Linked DNA regions of Oryctolagus cuniculus. The protein of the gene in region 1 interacts with the protein of each later gene in a biochemical or structural test. Links are inferred from orthologs where the notes say so. Each region holds a gene or a part of one and is shown on either strand. Other genes may lie near its edges.

Evidence for each region.
Region 2: the proteins of CRY2 (region 1) and FBXL3 form a complex in vitro, tested with the Homo sapiens proteins (2 studies listed by BioGRID, with this or other methods). The link is inferred for Oryctolagus cuniculus from reciprocal best matches to the Homo sapiens genes CRY2 and FBXL3.

What each region holds. Positions count from the first base shown.
Region 1 is NC_091432.1:20,108,853-20,119,260, forward strand, and holds the start of CRY2 (cryptochrome-2), read right to left. Parts: upstream 6,386-10,408; 5' UTR 6,359-6,385; coding exon 6,135-6,358; intron 1-6,134. UniProt on the Homo sapiens protein: Transcriptional repressor which forms a core component of the circadian clock.
Region 2 is NC_091440.1:35,444,750-35,455,106, reverse strand, and holds the start of FBXL3 (F-box/LRR-repeat protein 3), read right to left. Parts: upstream 6,547-10,357; 5' UTR 6,407-6,546; intron 6,359-6,406; exon of another isoform or gene 6,225-6,358; intron 5,985-6,224; exon of another isoform or gene 5,678-5,984; intron 686-5,677; 5' UTR 685-685; coding exon 337-684; intron 1-336. UniProt on the Homo sapiens protein: Substrate-recognition component of the SCF(FBXL3) E3 ubiquitin ligase complex involved in circadian rhythm function. Plays a key role in the maintenance of both the speed and the robustness of the circadian clock oscillation.

The DNA.
Region 1 (10,408 bases):
GAGGCGATGTGGGCAGGCACAGAGGTTAAAATTGATCAGATTTGTGAGCTGGAAGACCACGCCCCTGTCTGATCCCATGCCCCTACCTGACCACACCTGTGCGCCCACCTGCCAATCAGCCTAGTTAACCACTCCCCTTTGGACATGGATTAAAAGCCTGGAGCACTGTGGGCCCAGCCCCTTCTTTTTCCTCCCTACCCTGGATCCCCTTGCTGCCCTGCGCCTGCGCCTGCGGGCGCGTGGCCTGCGAGCCACGGCTCCGTGCTTTCCAGCTGCACGCTCCTCGTGGCTGGCTTTGGCCTGCTCTCTACTCAGTATGAATCCAGATTTCCCTTTCTCTCTTAGATAGAGCCCCCACTCTCCTATGCACTTCTCTCACTAAATAAACAGCTTAAAAACCTACCATGCTGCCTGGTTTGTTTGTGCCAGTATTCAGAAATCCCTGAATGCGTGACAAGAGCCCACACAGCTTATTAATGTGTAAATACTAATGGGTGAATCGGTCTCAGAGGGGCTCTCTGCAGTATCTCCAAGGTCCAGAGAACCTACGGGTCTTTCTCTTGATAGCAAGAGATGTCCGGGGCTGGTGCTGTGGCACAACGGATAAAGCCACACCTGCAATGCTGGCATCCCATATGGGCGCCAGTTCAAGTTCTGGCTGCTCTACTTCCAATCCAGCTCTCTGCTATGGCCTGGGAAGGCAGTAGAAGTTGGCCCAAGTCCTTGGGCCCCTGCACCCGCATGGGAAACTCAGAAGAAGCTCCTGGATCCTGGCTTTGGATTGGCACAGCTCTGGCCGTTGTGGTCAATTGGGGAGTGAACCAGCAGATGGAAGACGTCTCTCTCTCTATGTAACTCTCTCAAATAAATAAATAAATCTTTTAAAAGAGAGAGAGAGAGAGAGAGATGTCCACAGAGGCTCAACTCTAAACCCAGCAAAGAGACAATAACAATGGTAACAGCAGCACCAAGGACCACGCGGTGTCGACAACGAGCCAGCACCGTCCGGCGTGCTTCGCACACACCCCCTCCCTTCATTCTCGAACAGCCCTAGGAAGTAAGCGCCATCGCCCCCAGTCTCATCTTTCACAGGAGGAAACCGAGGCACGGAGAGATTCAGCAACTCGCTCCATATCGTCTACCCACGTGGACAGAACCGAAGCCCGGGCGACCCGTGCGGCTCCGCACGGCTGCCCTGACAGCACCTCGGCTGCGTGTCAGCTGTCAGTCACCTGGGAGCTCGCCTGGCCAAAGCAGCTGCATTTCAGCAAGACCCTCGCTGAGTCCCGTGCACAGGGAAATTTCTCTAGTGAACTTGCAGACGGCCTGGCTCCTGCCCCCTCCTCAGCCCTCTGGAAAACCTCTGCTCCTTGCACCCTCCCACCAGAGTCAAGCCTCCAGGCGGGAGAGAACGACTGACCCTGACCGGCCCAGCCAGGTGATGGCTTTGCATAGCACCCCAGCAGCGGGCAGGCGGCGCACTCCTGCACTGCAGAGAGGGCTCACTCATTCCCTCCCGCGCTCCCTTGGGGCCCGCCTCCCCTGCACGTGGTCCGTCTCTCTGCCCTCCAATGAGTGCCGGCCGGGGCATTGGCGCTGGCAGTGTTGGAGGCTGGCCCCTCGCCCTCGGCAGCTCCGGGCTGAGCTCACATGGCCGAGGTTCCGAGCACACGGTCCTGAGCGAGCCGTTAAAGCTCTCTCTTTGAATTAGACAACATGTGCAAGTGAATCACATTACATAAGCACTTTGCAGCCGGAGGCGCCCAGAGCTGGAGAGGACCAAAATGGGATTTCCAAAAATACAGAGAGGATGCTGTAATTCAGAGTCCACGAGGCTGGCCCTTTAGAATAAAACGGGCAGGGACTTCGGTTAAGGACTTGTGTTGTGAGGGAAGGCTGGTCAGCCTTGGAAAAGGTGTTGTTTGTTGTGCACGGGGGCAGGGAGATGATAGTGAACCCTTCTTTGGATCCACAGTGCCCTTGACCAAGTTTCTCTGCCTCGAGCCAAGGTCAGCTAACCAGGCTGATGATGTCACCAGCCAGCACGGGCTGACTGCGCAGCATATTAATAGAAATTAATTTTCTTCTGATTACGAGAGCCTAAGCCCCGTGGAAAAGGATAACCTCAACTCAATCCACACAGGGATCAAATTCTACGCGATAAAAGTGTATTTGCTTTCTCCTAATCTGGGAGAAAGATGAAGAGGGTTTCCATCCTTCTAAGCAAATGGAAACATTCCTTGGGCAGCAGTGGAAAAGCCCCTGGGCCGTGCACCGGGGGAGGGGGGCGTGGGGAAACTCCATCTCCCCACCAGCAGACTCCAGCTCTCAACCCCCCACTCACCAAGTTCCCCGGGCGGACCACCCACAAGCACCACCCACAGCCCTTCAGCCACTGGGCAAGAGGCCATGCTGGTGCTGGCCAGGCACCCTGCAGAGAGCCCCAGCCTAGTGCATTACGACTGAGAACAAATGTTCTCTTTCTCCCGACTCCCTCTGTCCCTGAAGGGTCTGAAAGAGGCGTAGCGCCTGAGACAAGGACAAAACGATCTACAGGAAGTGTGAAAATCCTTGCCAATACCTATCGAAATGGCCACAGGGAGAGGAAGGGTGTGAGAAACTCCAAGGGCCTATTTTAAGTAACTCCTATTTTAAAACCTAGAAGCTGCACACATGTGCCCTTGGTTCTGCTTCTCCCTATAGAGCCTCCTTCCAGACGCAGCCAACCTGGGGAAGGTGCGGCTGGGGAGGATGACCAAGGGTATACCAGTTGGTGCTTGAGAACAACACATTCCGGAGGCAACCCAGAAACGTCCCAGTATCACCAGGGCAAGGAGTGTGCTAGCTTTCTCCTGTGCCAACCAACAGATGTGTTTCTTGGTTGCCTTTTCTCTGTCCTCGTCTGCTCTGACAAAGTGCCATTCCTAGGAGGCACACGTGGCACGGCGGGTTAAGCCGCCGCCTGGGCTGCCCACATCCCAAGTAGCCAGTGCCGGGTTGAGTCCTGGCCGCTACCTGATTTCAATCCATCTTTCTGCTGATGCATCCTGGGAGGCAGCAGGTGCTGGCCCAAGTGCTTGGACTCCTGTTGCCAACATGGAGACCCAGATGCTGTTCCTGGCTCCCTGCTCTGGCCTGGTTCAAACCCAGCTGACACAGGCGCGGGGGAGGGGGACAGTGAACCAGTGAGTGGAAGATTTCTCTCAAGTCTGCTTATCATATAAATAAATACAAATCTGAGCAAAAAGAAAGTGCCATTCATAGCTATTTTCATCTGCCTCCCTCTGCAGATGAAGGCTGTACGTGAGTCAGCGTAGGATGTGTAGGAGCGTAACAGAGCTCACAGGTTTGGATGCCCCCACCCTTCCCGGAGATGCCTCTCAGCGGCACAATGCCAGGATCCAGGAAGCCCACAGGAAGATTACCGCCCCGGAGCTTGCCAGAGGCGCAGAGGCACAGCGGGCCGGCACAAGTCCCCCCACCTCCAGCCACCCAGCCACGTGCAGGAGACAGCCTGCAGGCGGGGTGGAAGGCGCCCAGCAGCAGCTATCAGATTCGATCTGTTTGGTGGTATTTCACCTCTTTCTTGCGGAATGCGAATGCAAATACTAATTAGACTTCCTGCCACGGGGCACTGCCACACGGCACTGCCAGGCCGCATCCCAGGTGGCCACTCTGGTCTGCTGTTCTCTAGCTCGGGGTTTCTCAAGCTTTACTGAGAGCTTACAAGACCCTAATGCCCAAACCATAGGCCCAGGCCAGTCCCATCAGAATCGGGCAGGGGGCAGGGGGCTCCAGGCAGCATTTAAAGATCCTTATGAGATTCGACTGTGCAGCCAAGATGGAGAACTGCGGCTCTGGTCTGCCCCTCCCCGCGCCCCTATTTCATTTTTCTTACAGAAGTAGTTCTACCAAACTGGGGTTATTTCCACGTCCTCAACTAAAACGCGGCCCCGGGAATCCTGCGGCACTGCCATGCATCAGCTTAGTCCCCGCTGCACCCCGGCAGCACCCAGAGCAGCACCTGGAACCTACTAAGCACTCACTAAATAATCCCTCTCGGAATAGCTACATCCCTGTGTGGCCTCTGACTTCCGGATGTCACTCAGGCACCTGAGCTGCCACCCTCCTTTGCCCCCGCACTCCCTTGAGAGCACAGTTACAAAAGGGTGACCTACAAAAATCCATAAACACCTCGTTTCTAGCAGATGCAGTTTAATCAGCAACCGTGTTTTTGTTGTTGATTTTTACTTCCCCAATGCTACAAAGGAGTAAGCAGGCCTAAGCCATGTCTCTCCCTCCCCCTCCAAAAAATTCCATAAAAGAAACTCCTTTATGACAAGGTAACAAGTGGCTCCTATTCTATTTACTCTGCTCTGGTTGGCACACTGCCACGGGGAGGACAAAGTCTGAGGCTTGATTTAATGTCCACACTGGAGACGGTCATTTGAGGATGTTTGTCAAAGCCGGCCTCCTATCTATAGAAAGTGGAGCAGAGCTGGAGCAATAGTGCAGCTGAAAACAGTGTGGGCAGACTCTCCCACGACTATCTTTAGTTGTTCCTGCTACACACCGGGCAGGGGGGAGCATTTAATAGACCGACTGCCACGAGCGCTCTCTCCTCGCAGGGCACACACCTTGGAGAGGAAAGAATGGTGTGCCGAGAGCCCATGGTCTCCTGGGAACAACTCAGCCCATCTGGGCAGTGTGGCCACAAGCAAACATCCCCCAGATCAATGCAAATAAACCAAGCACCTGCCCCTGGTGTCTGAGGGTGATGGGTATGTGGGTATCAAACTCCTTGGTTCTGAACACAGCTTACAGCCAAAAAAATAACCCCCAGGATCCGCAGGGGGTGAAGCTGCCCCTTGGGTTCCCCACATCCCACGTCGGGGTAGGGAACGAGCAACCCGCGGGCCAGATAAGGCCCCTGAAATCATTTGGTCTGGCCCTGCCAAAGCAACCACAGATGGGACTTGAAATTCAATAAACCCATAGCAGGCTCATTTTACAGTTGATCATTTTGTTGGCTCACAAATGATGTTCTAAATATCCAAACGGCCTTTGGCAGAAAAAAAGCTCGCGACCCCACTGCTGGTTCCAGCCCTGGGGGCTCTGCTTCTGATCCAGCTCCCTGCTGATGCACCTGGGGAGGCAGCAGAGGGGGGCTCAGGCGCTTGGCCCCTGCCGTAGATACTCGGGAGACCAGGATAGAGTTCCTGGCTTCTGACTTCATCATGGCACGTCCCCAGCTGTTGCAACCATTTGGGGAGTCAACCAACGGATGGAAGACCTCTCTCTCTCTTGCCCTGCCTTTCAAATGAGTAAATATATAATATATATATTTTTAATTAAAGAAAAAATACTCCAACTATCGACTTGTTAACCCTTCCCAGGATCCTGTCAGCCCCGCCTCCTGGAATAGATGGGGAACTCCGACACTGTGGCATCCCGGGTCCCTATGCGGAACGGGGCACATCAGTCCATGAGAGAGCCGTCTACAGTGGCTCGCAGGTCCTTCTAACTCAACCAGGAGGAGGGGGAGGTGCTGTCTTGGGTTCCTGTCTAATTTTGCCAGCGAGGTCATGGCCGCTGAGAGGGCTCCCCAACACGGCTACGAACTGCTCTGGGGCTCTCGGGACACGGAGTCTCCCCACAGACGCCCTCGGGGTCCTCAGCCAGGACTCGCGGGAGGAGACCTTATCAATTCTAAGCGAGGGTCTCCAGACACCTCCAGAGGCTGGGCAGTGTGGGTGGAGGGAAGCCAGGGTGGCCGAGAGGGCGGATTCCAACAGTTTAGGACCCGCAAAGGCGAGTGTTAGAGACCCGCTGGGCTCCCTGCACGGGCATTCCCTACACCTGGAGACCTCGTCCTGCCGCGCCCGGCAACACCTGGGCAGGTCAACTTTGCGCCGTCAGGGTTCAAGCGCCTGCTCCGTGCCGTGGGGGTCCTGGGGTGCGGGGGTCCGGCGCTCGGAGGGAGGTGCGGCCCTGGCCCACCGCGCGCACCAGCACGCTGACCACGTTCCCTGGCCCCGGCTTCCCGCCTCCGGGGAGCCTGCGCCGTGCCCCTGCCCCAGCTGCCGCGGGCCGGGGGCGCTCGGCTGCGTCCTAACCGCTCGGGGTCTCCTCACCTCCATCGGTTGATCCCCACGGAGGAGGAGGCCGCGAACCAGGGGTCGAGGATGTACACGCAGCGCACGCAGCGAGCCCCGCGCACGGCCGCCAGCAGCGCCGGGTTGTCGTGGAGCCGCAGCCCTTTGCGGAACCAGTGTACCGAGGAGGCGCCATTCGCGCTGGCCGCCGGCGCGGGGACCGCCGCCGCCGCAGGACCCACTGCCGCCGCCGCCGCCGCCATCACAGCTCAGACTGCCGGAGCCACCGCCGCTCCGCCCCCGGCGGCGCCGCGAGCCCCGCCCACAGCCCGCCCTCTGACCTATGACGAAACCGCTGTTTGCTATGGCCCCGCCCCACAGTGGACCGCGGAGCGCCTCCGTCATTGGCTGGGCGCCTCCAGCCCGGCGATTGGCCCGGCAGCGCAGGATCCGGCCCCGCCCCCTCACGTTCCCGCCATGTGTCGTCCCCGCCCGCTAAGAGCCGGCCGGCTGGGCGAGTGACGCAGGCTGGCTGAGGCCTGGGGCGTGGCCTCAGGCTGGAGGGACTGCGGGTTCCCTTACGCGGGTCCTGTTCAGGGCCGCCTCTGGAAACAGCTGCTGGAGCTGGCGGAGGGTGCCGAGATACCAGACAGCGCCTTGCAGGACTGACAGCCTGCCTGCCTTGTCACCATCGGCATCGTCGCCACCCGGGTCGTCGGAATACGGCTGGCACCCGCTGAGTGCGGAGCAAAGACTGTCTCATTTGCTGCTCTCAAGTCTGCCCTGTCACTCCATAAAGCTATGGAACAGCGCTGTCGTCCCCATTTTGTCTTTAAAGGTCTGTTTATTTATTTGAAGGCAGCTAGGGTGTCTCCCATCCAGCGAGTCACTCGCCAAATGAGCGCAATGGCCAGGGCTGGGCCAGTCTGAAGCCAGGAGCCGGAAACTCCGTCCTGGTCTCCCCCCTGGGTTACAAAGCCCAAGCACTTGGGCCATCTTCCACTGCTTTCCCAGGCACCTTAGCAGAGAGCTGGATCCGAAGTGGAGCAGCTGGGACTCCAACCAGTATACAGCACGGGCCCTCAGTCCCATTTTAAAGATGAGGAAAGCAGAGGCGTTGCAGGTTGAATGACTTGCTTAGTATCATAAAGCTAATAAGAGGATCCCACCCATTTGATTCTGATCTCAAAGCATCTGCTCTTAACCCACGGAGCTATACTGCTGTCTGTGCCGAAATCCTTGGCATTTGCAAGTGGCAGGGTGCAACATGGGGAGAGTGCCCAGCCGTGCAGCAGTGTGAGGACTGGAGGCCGTGGGCTCAGATAGTAATGAGGCTGCCGGACAAATTTGTCTGACCACCGGGTCTGCTCAGGATAGCAGCGCTGTCCTGGGTCCCTGTGTAGCAGCGACAAAGTGTTGATGGTGGGCCAAGACGGCCCGGGCAGGCGGTAGCTCTGGGGTCAGGAGGCAGAGGACGGTCAGTTTCAGCTTGGCTGCAGGCTGAGCCCATGCTTGGAATGTTTCCTGAACTTGAGAATGAGCAACTGAGCCCAGGCTTGGAGCCTTTCCTGGACTTGAGAATGAGCTACGCAAGAATTTAACAGCTTGGTTGCATTGATTGGCACCACCCAGCGTCCCTGCAGTCCTAGGCTCTCTCTCACTTCCAGGGCTTTGCACAAGCTGTCCCCGCAGCCTAGCTCACACGCCCTGTCCCTCCCCACTTCTTAACTTCCGTTTGCCCTGTGTCACTGGCTCTGTACAGATGTCACCTTCTTGCGATGTGTCCCATCTCAGTCTGTGCCACTTTCCATCACCGGCCATTAGCGCATGGGTCTGGGATTTCTTGCTTCCTTGTCTGTCTGTCCCATTAGACTATAAACTCCCGGAGGGTAGGAGCCCTGGTTTACTGGCAGTCCTAGTTCCAAAGTCCAGCACTGTGCTTGGTGCTTAACGCTCACAGAGTGTTTGAGTAAAAATTGAACAGGTCCCGCAGTCTCAGCTTGGCAGGGACCTTCAAGGTCTAACCCTGGCCCGGTCCTGGCCCCGTCCTGACTTTGAACCCCCTCTCCGCCTGCTTCCTGAGTAGATACTGCCCCTCAGGAGTTTTCCCATGAAGCTCTGTGTGTCTGCCTCTCCTGCCTCCCCTTCTCTCCACAGGCCTGGTGCTCTGCTAAGGATGAACAGGGCCTGTGGGCACCTGGTTCTAGAGTTACAGAGAGGCAGAGAGAGAGAGAGAGAGAGAGAGAGAGAGAGAGGCCTTCCATCTTCTGATTCACTCCCCAAATGGCCGCAATGGTTGGGTAGAGCCAGGTCAAAGCCAGGAGCCAGGAGCTTCTTCTGGGTCTCCCACGTGGGTGATCCTCTGCTGCTTTCCCAGGTGCATTAGCAGGGAGCTGGGTGGGAAGTGGAGCAGCTTGCGCCTCTATGGGCTGCTGGTGTCACAGGTGGCAACTTTACCAACTACACCACAACACCCACCCCTGTTCTCCACTTTCTTAGTCTGTGTGATAGGGAGGGTAGCAGTACCTGCGCCAGAGGAAGTGTCCTTATACACAGTTGTCAGTGGCTGTTCTGAACAGCAGGATGTGTGTCTGATTTTGTATTCCTTGCAATACCAAGTCTGGATCTTACACGCTCAATAATTTGCTAAGTGAATAAAAGATTTTGCTTATTTTTAAATAAAAAGGAAGACTTGGGACCTGAACTGTGGCGCAGCAGGTAAAGCTGACACCTGCAGTGCCGGCACCCTGGCTGCTCCTCTTCTGATCCAGCTCTCTGCTCTGGCCTGGGAAAGCAGTAGAAGATGGCTCAAGTCCTTGGGCCCCTGCACCCACATGGGAGACCAGGAAGAAGCTTCTGGCTCCTGGCTTCAGATGGGTGCAGTTCCTGCCATTGAGGCCAATTGGGGAGTGAACCAGCAGATGGAAGACCTCTCTCTCTGCCTCTCTTTCTCTCTCTGTATAACTCTGACTTTCAAATAAATAAATAAATCTTTAAAAAAATAAAAAGGAAGACTGATGGCCCCAATCCTAACCAATTATTGCCTATCTCCACGTTGCCCTCTACGCTTTCTCCACACACATCGGGTTTTGGAGTTGTCGTGGGGCACAGGTGTAGAGTGGCCTTACCTCTTGTTTTGCAGCACCGTGTCTGTTTTGCTGAGTCACTGTGTTTGTTATTTGTGGTTTGTACTATCTTCAAATTGCTGCAGATGAATTGTTTTATTGAGGAACTTCACACTGTTTGGTGATGTCAACAAGGCAACCTTGGAGAATCAGGACGGGAATCTAGCATTGGGTAGAGTCCTGGAGCGCAAAGTCCGCTTTCGCTTTTACACTTGAAAACAAGCAGAGAGGCCCTGGCACGTGGCGCAGCACTCAGGACTCTGCCTGGGCTGCCCACTGCTCTTACAGGACTTCTGAGTGCCGGCTCCAGTTCCAGCGTCCTGCAGGTGCGCACCCTGGGAGGCAGCAGATGATGGCCCCAGCACTGGAATGCCTGCCACCCACATGGGATACCACATGCAGTTCCTGGCTCCTGGCTTCGACCTGGCCCAATCCAGGCTGTTGTGCACATTTGGGTCATTTGGGGAGTGAACCAGCAGATGGATAGAAGATGTCTTTTTTTTTTTTTTAAGATGTATTTATTTATTTGAAAGGCAGAGTTACAAGAAAGAGAGAAGGAGGAAGAGACACACAGAGAGATCTTCCATCTGCTGGTTCACTCCCCATATGGCCAAAAGGGCATGAGCTGGGCTGATCCGAAGCCAGGAGTCAGGAGCTTCTTCCAGGTCTCCCACGTAGGTGCAGGGGCCTAAACACTGGGGTCGTCTTCCATTACCTTAAACTAGGCGCATTAGCAGGGAGCTGGATGGGAAGTGGAGCAGCCGGGCTCGAACGGGAGTCTGTATGCCAGTGCAACAAGCGGCTAAGCTCTGGATAGAAGATTCTTCTCTCTCTCTCTCTCTCTCTCTGCCTTTAAAATAATTTGTAAAGGGTCATAGGGAAATTGGAGAGAACAAAGGCACTCGCAAATTGCTAAGAAGGCGAACGGTAACTGGGTATTATCTCTCGGTGAGAAATGAGAGCTGACGACTCGGTAACTGTGCACCTCGTTATATAAAAGCACCTGTGAATAGAGGTTACCACGAGGATTGCAAAGGGCTGTTCCTCTTTTCCGCTACAGGTGGCACAAAAGCACCTGTCGCAAACTGGCAGAGGAAGGTTTGAAGGTGTTACAGATCTGCCAGGTGGCGCTGCATGGCTTTCCTTCCCAAAGATACTCTGGAGACACATCAGTCCCGTTCTGTCTCC
Region 2 (10,357 bases), on another chromosome or scaffold:
ATCAAAGCAAGCAAAATTAGTTCCTGTTTAATAGATGTGGCAATCAAGTTCTAGTCAATCAAAATTTTGTTGCTGACAGCTTTGGTCAATGATTTATGCTTATTTAGCAGTCATCTTTGCTCTTTCAAGAAGTTATTAATAATTAAAACTGAATAATTTAGCTCCATCAAATATCACAATTATTTTTGACTGCTTCTAAAGAATATAATAATTATAAATCTTCAAGTACCTTCCCCGAAAAGGCAGATATTTTAAAAACAGAGATGTATTGGTTTAGATCATAAAATCACAACATAAAGATGGTTTATTTTCTAAAAGAAGGAGTTGAAGTATTACCTTGAAGCTGACATACTGTAGATGGTTTGAGTGTCTTTTAATAATCTGTTTGATCAGCTCTGGATGGGTGGCTTTCAAATAAGATGTGGCTGGCTGATTCAGTTCAAATTCAAAACATCTCCACAAGTCAGGCATGTGAAATACCTGGTTCCAGCTGCGGCAAACTTGTGAAGCATGAGCCCGGTCAAGAAGAGGCAAATATTTAAACACATGGAGAATAATGTCCTGAAGGAGATTACCCCAATCACAAGTCTGAGAATGCTCATTTGTAGTCCTCAGTTTCTTGGATTTCTCTGCAGGACCTTCCTCTGATGAATTATGGTCACTCTCTCTTACTCCTCGTTTCATCCTGTTCAGAAAAATAAATCATTTTTTTCATTCTACCTAACTTTTGAATATACCCCCAAAACTCAATCTTCTGTCACTGAGATGTTTGTGTTTACATATACAAACATAAATATGCAGAACTGGACCAGGAATTCAAGGAGATTACCAAAACAAAAATACTGAAAAATACCAATGAAAACCAACAAAGGTTTTACAAATTCCCTACATTTTTGGCAGGTGTTTTCAAGCAGTTACCTTTATTCTGTACTACCCGGAGGGAAAATTTATTATTGCTTTGAAACTACACCAAGAATCTGTATCTCAAACACCATAATCAACTAACTCATTAGGGAACCTAAAATGGAATTTTCCAAAGGTTTCTTTTTCTTTTTTTTTTTTTTTAAAGATTGATTTAGTTTACTTGAAAGTCCCAGTTACAGAGAGGCAGAGAGAGAGGTCTTCCATCCGCTGGTACACTCTCCAGATTGCTGCAAAGGCCGGAGCTGTGCCGATCTGAAGCCAGGAGCCAGTTGCTTCCTCCAGGTCTCTCATGCGGGTGCAGGGGCCCAAGGACCTGGGCTATCCTGTACTGCTTTCCCAGGCCATAGCAGAGAGCTGGATTGGAAGTGGAGCACCGGCTCTCAAACAGGCACCCTTATGGGATGCCGGTACTGCAGGTGGCGGTTTTACCTGCTATGCCACAGCGTCAGCCCCTCCAAAGGTTTCTTAAAAGTCATCTGAGGATATCTGCTATATTTCAGTTCTTGATTTCAAGGCAAGCCAGGATCCCTAGGCATCTCCAGAGAGGCTGTGAATTAAGCAGGCAACAGATCTTGCCACATTGATTTGTCTGTGATATGTGTTACTGCTAGACTTTTCCAACTTTTGTTTAAAATAAACAAACCCATACCTACTACGCATTGTTTAGTCTTGTTTGTAGTTCTTTTTTTTTTTTTTTTTTTTTTTTGGACAGGCAGAGTTAGACAAAGAGAGAGAGACAGAGAGAGAGTTATAGACAGTGAGAGAGAGACAGAGACAAAGGTCTTCTTCCGTTGGTTCACTCCTCTAATGGCCACCATGGCCGGCGCTGCGCTGATCTGAGGCCAGGAACCGGGTGCTCCCTCCCAGTCTCCCATGCGGGTGCAGGGACCCAAGCACTTGGGCCATCCTCCACTGCCCTCCCGGGCCATAGCAGAGAGCTGGACTGGAAGAGGAGCAACCGGGACTAGTACCCAGCGCCCCAACCGGGACTAGAACCCGGGGTACCGGTGCCACAGACACATGGCCACATGTCACAGTGAGCCATGGTGCCAGCCTGTAGTTACTTCTAATGCATCACTTCCTATTGCAATGATTCCCCACTTTATTTCTTAATGACACTTACATGTTTATTTTGTGTATTCTTATTACCTTCAATTCACCTGTTTCCTTGAAAGATAACCTTTTCAAGGCCGAATAGCATTATGATTAAAGAAAACAGGTGGGGGAGGCTTTTTCATTGGCTATGTAGCCCTGAGTAAATCACTCAACTTTCCTGTGCTTGTTTGCAAAAGGGGAATAAGATAAGGTGTTCTTGTGAAAAATGAAATATTATGGTTATTAAAAGATGATTATTGAGGGGCCGAAGCTGTGGCGTAGTGGGTAAAGCCACCGCCTGCAGTGCCGGCATCCCATATGGGTGCCGGTTCGAGACCCGGCTGCTCCACTTCCTATCCAGCTCTCTGCTATGGCCTGGGAAAGCAGTGGAAGATGGCATAAGTCCTTGGGCCCCTGCACCCACATGGGAGACCCAGAAGAGGCTCCTGGCTTCGGATCGGCGCAGCGCCGGCCGTGGCCCACTTGGGGAATGAACCAATGGAAGGAAGACCTTTCTCTCTGTCTGTCTCACTGTCTATAACTCTACCTGTCAAAAAAAAAAAAAAAAAAAAAAAGATGATCACTGAACTCTACTGCAGAAAAGCAGTTTAGTATTAAAGAGTAAAACAGAGATTACCTACCAGAATGCAAAGAATGAGTCTCTTTTTTTTTTAAATGAGGTCTGTGGGTGTGTGTATGTGGGGGCAGAGAAGAGCTCAGGTAAAACCAAAAGTAGATTCACTAAATTATTAACTATTCCTGTTAATTTGTTTTTACAAAGCATTTCCTTTCTACATTTGACACATTTCTTTTAACATCAAGGCACTGCACTGTGGTAGTATTTTTTAAAAAGGATCTTGATTTGTTAGACAAGTACAGCAGATTCTAAACTGAAGTAACACCACATCCTTCACTGGTACTCGTATTTAGTTTAGAGCCCACTACTCTACAGAGTAGTTCGAGTGGGTAGAGTGTGGACCTAGACTTCGGTCAAAGCCTTTTGGAGGCTTTGCATCCTACCTCTTTTTTGGTACATCAGTGTATAAAAATGTCTAAATCCCATGTGGGATAAAGGATGTGCATGTGCATCGTTGTAAACCAAGTATGTCTCTAAGACTTTCTTCATCCAGTAGCTAGCAAAACTTGTGAGAGAGAATCAAGGGCTAAAGAGTAGAGAGTTAACAGCAGGCCCATGGGCCTTCATGCCATGAGCATCTATCCAGGAGATCTTAACACATGTACAATAAACTGTGTATTCGTCATCACTCCTACTTACAACCATGAATACAGTGAAGTAAAAACGCTGCCCATTCAGCAGGAGGAAAGGAAGGGAGAAAACAATAACAGAAGTGACAGCAAAAGGGTAGTTTTAAGGAATACAACTCCTCCACATTCTTTTCACTGTGTGTTTAGAAAAACAATAGTAGATTCTACAATGTAATCTTTTGTTATTAAGATTTATTCATTTGAAAAGCAGAATGAGAGGAAGAGAGAGATAAAGATATCCAGAATCTGTTGGCTCACAAGCCAGCTGGCTGCACCACCCAGGGCAAGGGCAGGCTGAAGCCAGGAACTAGGAACTCTTAACAGGGTCTACGTCTTGGGTGGAATGGATTCAAGGAATTGAGTCATTATCTGCTGCTTCTCAGACAGATTAGCAAGGAGCTGGATCAAAGTGGGATAGCCAGGACTTGAACCAGCACTCCAATATGCAATTGCAGTTATCCCAGGTAGCAGCTTGACACACAGTGCCACAACACCTGCCCATACAGTATCATCTTTCATATAAAAAAAACTCTCCTAACAACAGTGTCCTACTAGAGGTTGAAATAACCCAGTCATTATGACCCATTTTTATGCTTCATTTATTCTGAAGTTTTACTGTAGTTTTAGCATATACAAATGGATCATGAAACAAAGTTTGCCATCTAGGGCTTATAGTTTCTCTTCTGACTACCTAAAACTATTCAGAATTTTGACAGAGATTCAAAAAGAATGAAGCAGTACAACAAGATGCTAATCACCTGTTTCCCAGAGAAATGTGTTCTAAAACTAGAACTACTCAAAAACACAATTATTCATTTGACTTTGAAGTAGATGGAGATATAAAAAAAATAAAATGCCACAAAGTGGGTATTCACTCTAGCAAGTAAGATACGCACATCCCACATTAGAGTACCATAGGTTCAAAATCCAATTCTGGTTCCTGACTCCAGTTTCCCACCAATGCACACCCCAGAGGACAGTGGTGATGCCTCAAATAATTAGGTTACTGGCACCCACATGGGAGACCTGGATCGCAGGTCTGACTCCAGTCCTAGACCAACCCTGTGCATTAAAGGCATTCAAAGAGTGAATCAGCAGATGAGACTTTACTCTGTCTTTCTCTCTGCCTCTCAGATAAATAAAAACTTCAAAATAAATGACAGTCTTAGTCATGCAATAATTTTTGCTAATGCTTTATTGGTCCTACCAATAGAAGCCTTACTCTGTCTATTATTGTCCTATTTTGCAAGTAAATAAGGGGAAAAATCTGACATTTTGAAAAGTATGCAACACTAATGTACAGTAATCTGTTGATCTAGATATAAAAAGGCCAAATGATCATCAAAGCATTTTAAAGCACTTACTAGCTTATGAATGACTAAAAAAATTCTGGAAATCATCTATTATTACTGCAATATGGCATAATTACATACGGTAAGCACTGGAGAATAATGTAAGGTCAATTCCAATAAAGATGGTCTCTGTAATAGTCTTATTTATGAACAGAAGGTAATGTGTGGACACCTAATAAAACTTTCAAATGCCAATTTTTCCAAGGTGGTTTCATTTATTCACATAAAAATCTGTACTGCTTTCAAAAGTCCGTTAAATGTTTACAAATGAAGCTCGACTGAACAGAAAGTTAACCAATTCAGAGTACCCATCAGTCAACACATAATTTAATCAATGGTGTTGATATCTCCTACTTTTAGTCAAAGTGCAAGCACCCTCATATTTGAATACCAGGACCACACTGAACAACAAATGCCAATACGACTTCCTAGAGCACCAAAAGCACAACTCTATAAAGCTCAGGCAGTTTAATTTCCTGCAACGTTTCAGGGATCTCAATAATGCTGTTTTGACCGCCAGAGCTTTCAGCGAGAGGCTACTATCATTACAAAGTGCCAGAAAGCAAGTTAATGAGGACCGACTACATCCTGGCGGAGCTGCACAGGCAGCTGGTGAGCTAACTTGACAGTTCTGAAAACTATGGAAGCGGCAGTCAACTGGATCACCAGTTAAGAGAACAGCAGCTGGGTGTCTTTCCCTGCACCGCTATGTACACCGGACATGCAAGTCGCCTTAAAAGACCATTTGTATTTAGCTCTAAAGGCCCTGTTCGGACACCATCTTCTGCACCAACATCAATACTAATATGCAATCTTTGGCAGGGGTACAAGAATAAAACAAACCAAAGAGATTAACTCTCAGGACTGAATGGTACCGGGAAAGCATGGTGGCTAAAATTTACCCAGTGGTCATAAATAGATAACTGGCAGCCGACTGCAGTCTTCTAAAGTATTTCAGGGAAAGCTGGGGGAAGATTCGAACTCTAAGATCTGGGTCACCCGACCGGAACCATTAGCAACAAAACCACCACCTCTCTCACCTGTGTGCTTGGAGCTGCAGGCCAGTCGTTTACTGGGCTGCTTCCCGATCCCTGTCTGCAACCCGAGAGGCGGCCGCACGCGCCCAAAGCAGGCGCGACGCTGCTCAACCCAAGTTGACCAAGTTTTCCACTCGGCGACGCGGCGAGCGCGTCCCCGCCTCCCCGCACCACCTTCACGGACTGGCGCTCTCCGACGATTCCAGGCGCCCTACTCTGGAGGTGGCTTCTGCCATCTCAGGCTACCAGCAGCCGACAAGCCGGCCAGAGCGGAGCAGCGCGGTGCCGGACACCGCCCCCGCCCAGAGCCACAGCGCCGGGCGGAGTTGCCGCCCCAGCCGCGCACGCACCACGCCTTGTTGACATGTTTTGAAGCAGGCACCGCGGGGCAACGCCCCCAAGCAGGCTCCAGGGACTGGGTGCTGGGTGCTGCGCCCCGCGCCCCGCCCGGCACTCCCGCGGAGCGGCCCACGCGCGCCCGGGGCCCCGCGCCCCCGGCCCGTCCACAGCTGCTCCGCAGCCCCTCCCGGCCCCGCCCGTCCGCCGTTACCTGCTGTCGGGGGCGGCTTCCCCCACACACCACCCCCGGCTCCGGGGACGGCGGCCGCTGGTCCCGCGGCTCTCACATGAGGCCCCTGGGGCCCCCTGCTTCGCGCTCCCGCGGCCGCGGCCCCCCGTGCGACGCCCGCATCCGAGGCGCTGGTCCCCCGGCGGGCGCCAACGCGGCTCCACCTTTGCAAGTCTGGCTGCCCCGACGAGACGCCTTCCTTCTCAGCCCCGCGCTGTCTACGTCTCGGCCCCGGGACTCCCAGTCGCTGCCAGAGGCTCCCCGCTCAGCGAGCTGCAGCCGCCGCGTAGCTCTCCAGCTCTTCGGCCCAGACACCGAGTCCAAAATGGCGCCCGGGGCTCGCGGGCGCGCGCTTTCCCCGGCGCGTCCCCGCCCGAGGGGGCGGGCGCGTGTCCGCGGCGGAGGGGGCGGGGCGCGGAGGAAGCCCCGCCTGGGCGAGAGCGCGCGCCGCGCGGCGTCCGCCTCCCGGTTCCCCAAGGGGCCGCGGCTCTGGCTGTGAGGGGACGTCTTGTTTGGGAGTGCAATGTGGGCAGGCTGGCGTTAGCTCGACGCGGTTCAGACTGGAAAGTGTAAGGAGGTGGAGCAGCCAAAAGCAGGAGGGCGTGTCCCAGGAGCGTGGGGCACTCCGGGCCGCGGGACGGTGGACAGTCGCCGGCGGCAGCGACACCCCTCCGCTCCTGCGGGGGTCAGCACGGGCCCCAGTGGAGCCGGGCATCAGACCTACAGATGTAGTGGCGGAAAGATTGCAAGGACGCTGGGATTACAGATAGTTTTCAAAACACTCGTGATTCCCGATTTTCCTAAAGTCTTTATCAACCGAGTTACTACTCTCGTGAGAAACCACCTTTCCTTCATGAAGTAGAGAGCCTCCTGAAATGTGTAGAGAGAGACACAGAGGGGAAAGTGTAACGCCTGGCTATGTAAGAGATGGCCCGTAGGGAAGCCTTTTGGAAATCAAATCCTGTGCGTCCCTGACACCCAGTTAGCTTGTTTGCAGAGTTCGACTGGATGCTAGCAGGCTTTCTTAAAGCTGGAAGGTGCACTGCGGTAATTTGAGTCACTCACCATCCCTCACCCTAAAAAACAATAAAAGAAACAAGACGTCATTTTCCATCCAGAGATGCCTTCTAACTCTGATTCATGGGCAGTAGACTGGAAGGTAGAGGTATCTTGGGAGCCCTTCACTGTTCCTCTTCCCCAAAAGTATAAAACCAGGAAGCCATATGTAAAGTGACATTAAGAGTCAATGTTGGGAAATGCCAGTGCTTTTTTCTTTTTTTTTTTTTTTTAAGATTTATTTTTCATTTATTTGGAAGACAAAGTTACAGAGAGGAGGAGAGACAGAGAAAGAAAGAGATCTTTTTCTATCCACTGGTTCACTCCCCAAATGGCTGCAAGGGCCAGGAGGAAGCCAGGGGGCAGTAGCTTCATCCAGGTCTCCCACACAGGTGCAGGGGCCCAAGCACTGGGGCCATCTTCTGCTGCTTTCCCAGGCACATTAGCAGGGAACTGGGATTGGAAGTTGAGCAGCCAGGACTTGAACCAGGCCTATCTCAGGTGACAGTAGGAGGCTTAACCTGTTAGGCCACAACACTGGAGTTTCCTGCTCCTTTTTTTTTTTTTTTTTTTTTTTTTTAAGCCTAGCTATCAGATGGCCAAATCAAATTGCACAGACAGCTTCTAACAACCTAATAATGTGGATGTACCTGAACTGCCACATTTTTTTAGGTCCCTCAATGACTGAATGGTGAGGGACAATAGGACATTCTAAGAAAGGTAATGATAATATTAGAGGAAGAAAAACAAGCCCATCTACTTAAAGGGGGGTTGAGAGTGTTTATGACTGGGGCCGGTGTTGTGGCTTAGCAGTAATCCACAGCCTGCAATGCTGGCATCCCATATGGGTGTTGGTTCAAGTCCTAGCTTCCTACTAATGGCCTGGGAAAAGCATAGGCGGATGGCGCCAAGTGCTTGGGAGATCCAGAGACCCAGATGGACCTCCTCCTGGCTTGGAACTGGCCCAGCCCTGACAATTGCTACTACCTGGGGAGCGAATCAAATAAATAAATCTCTTTTGTTTAATTAAAAATATGATCAACAAAGCAACTAAATCAGCAAACTTGATTAGTGCATGTTACATCACATTAATATTTTATCATACTCTAATCAGAGTCCCGTCACAATTTTCTTTTAAAGGAGACAAGGATCTTGGCACACTTTACCTATTGAATGCCTCCTCTTCCCTGTTACTATTAACTAAAGATTTTATTTCACTTTTTTTTTTTTTTTCATTTGAGAGGTAGAGTTACACAGAGAGGGATAGAGAGGAAGGTCTTCCATCTGCTGGTTCACTCCCCAAATGATCACAATTGCCGGAGCTGGGCTTATCTGAAGCCAGAAGCCACGAGCCAGGAGCTTCTTCCAAGTCTCCCAAGTGGGTGCAGGGCCCTAAGCATTTGGGCCATCTTCTGATGCTTTCCCTGGCCATAGCAGAGAGCTGGATAGGAAGTGGAACAACCAGAACATGAACTGTCGCCCATATGTGATGCCAGTGCCGCAGGTAGAGGCTTAGCCTATTACACCACAGTGCCAGCCCCTTTCACTTTTTTTTTTTTTTTTGACAGGCAGAGTGGACAGTGAGAGAGAGAGACAGAGAGAAAGGTCTTCCTTTTGCCGTTGGTTCACCCTCCAATGGCCGCCGCTGCAGCCGGCGCACCACGCTGATCCGATGGCAGGAGCCAGGATCCAGGTGCTTTTCCTGGTCTCCCATGGGGTGCAGGGCCCAAGCACCTGGGCCATCCTCCACTGCACTCCCTGGCCATAGCAGAGAGCTGGCCTGGAAGAGGGGCAACCGGGACAGAATCCGGCGCCCCGACCGGGACTAGAACCCGGTGTGCCGGCGCCGCAAGGTGGAGGATTAGCCTATTGAGCCACGGCGCCGGCCGGCCTTTCACTTCTTTTTTAAACAAGAAATGTATTTGGAGGCAGGCATTGTGGGGTAGTGATATAGATTAAGCTGCTCCTTAAGATCCCAAATCCCATATTGGATTTCGGGTTTGAGTCCCAGCTGCTCAAATTCTGATCCAGCTTCCTGCTAATGTGCTCATAACAACAGGGCTAGGGCCCCTGCTAACCACATGGGAAACCCTGATGGAGTTCTGAGCTCCTAGAGTCAGCCTGGCCCAGCCCTGACTACTGCAGGCATTAGTATAGTGAACCAGTGGATGGAAAATTGATCTCTCTCCTTTTCAAGTACCTGAAAATAAATTTTATAAGGAAATATACTTATTTTTCCATCAGCCACTACTTATTTCCAATTATCAATTAATATTAATATTAGTCAAGATCAGTTGCCTGGGGCAGGGGTGGGGTAGGGTAGAGGGTAGCATTGGAGCAGGTTAATACAGTGGGGAAGATATTATAGAACCTGGTAAGAATTGCCAGTGCCTGTGATAATGAAGAGCAGATCAACCATTAGTCAGCTTTATTATTGCTTTTAAGTCCTTAGTAGTAGACCTCCTCCACCAAGGGCATATCACTCCCACAACCACCTCCCATCATGGTACACCAGTAATCAGGATAGATTAAAGTAATGTAGTGATTTCTCAAAACACTAACCTGAAATTCCTTTTTTTAAAATGGCATAATTTTTGAAGTACTGCTGCAGTATTCTTTAGTATTTTGCAGTGTTTTGGGATTGGTCTCATGTTTTTCTGGTGACTAGGCTTGGATTATTGACGTTTGGGAGGAAACCACAAAGGTATAAAGTCCCATTCACATCATATCATATCAAGAGTATGTCTATCAACATGACTTATTCCTACTGATACCAACATTAATTAAATGTTGAGGTCAAGTTGCTCTACTGAAATCTTTTTCTTTTCTCCTTTCTGTATGGTACTCTTTGGAAGGAAGTCACTACATACGGTCAACACTGAAAGGGTGGGATATTATGTTCCATCTTCTTTGGGCAGAGGTGTTTCACAAATTATTTGGAATTTTTCTACCATGATAGATCTACCTCTGTATCTCTTAATTTCATATTATTAATGTCTTTTTTTCTGTCTTTACAATTTTCTCTGAACTGTCTTCCAAGTCACTATTTCTCTCTTAAG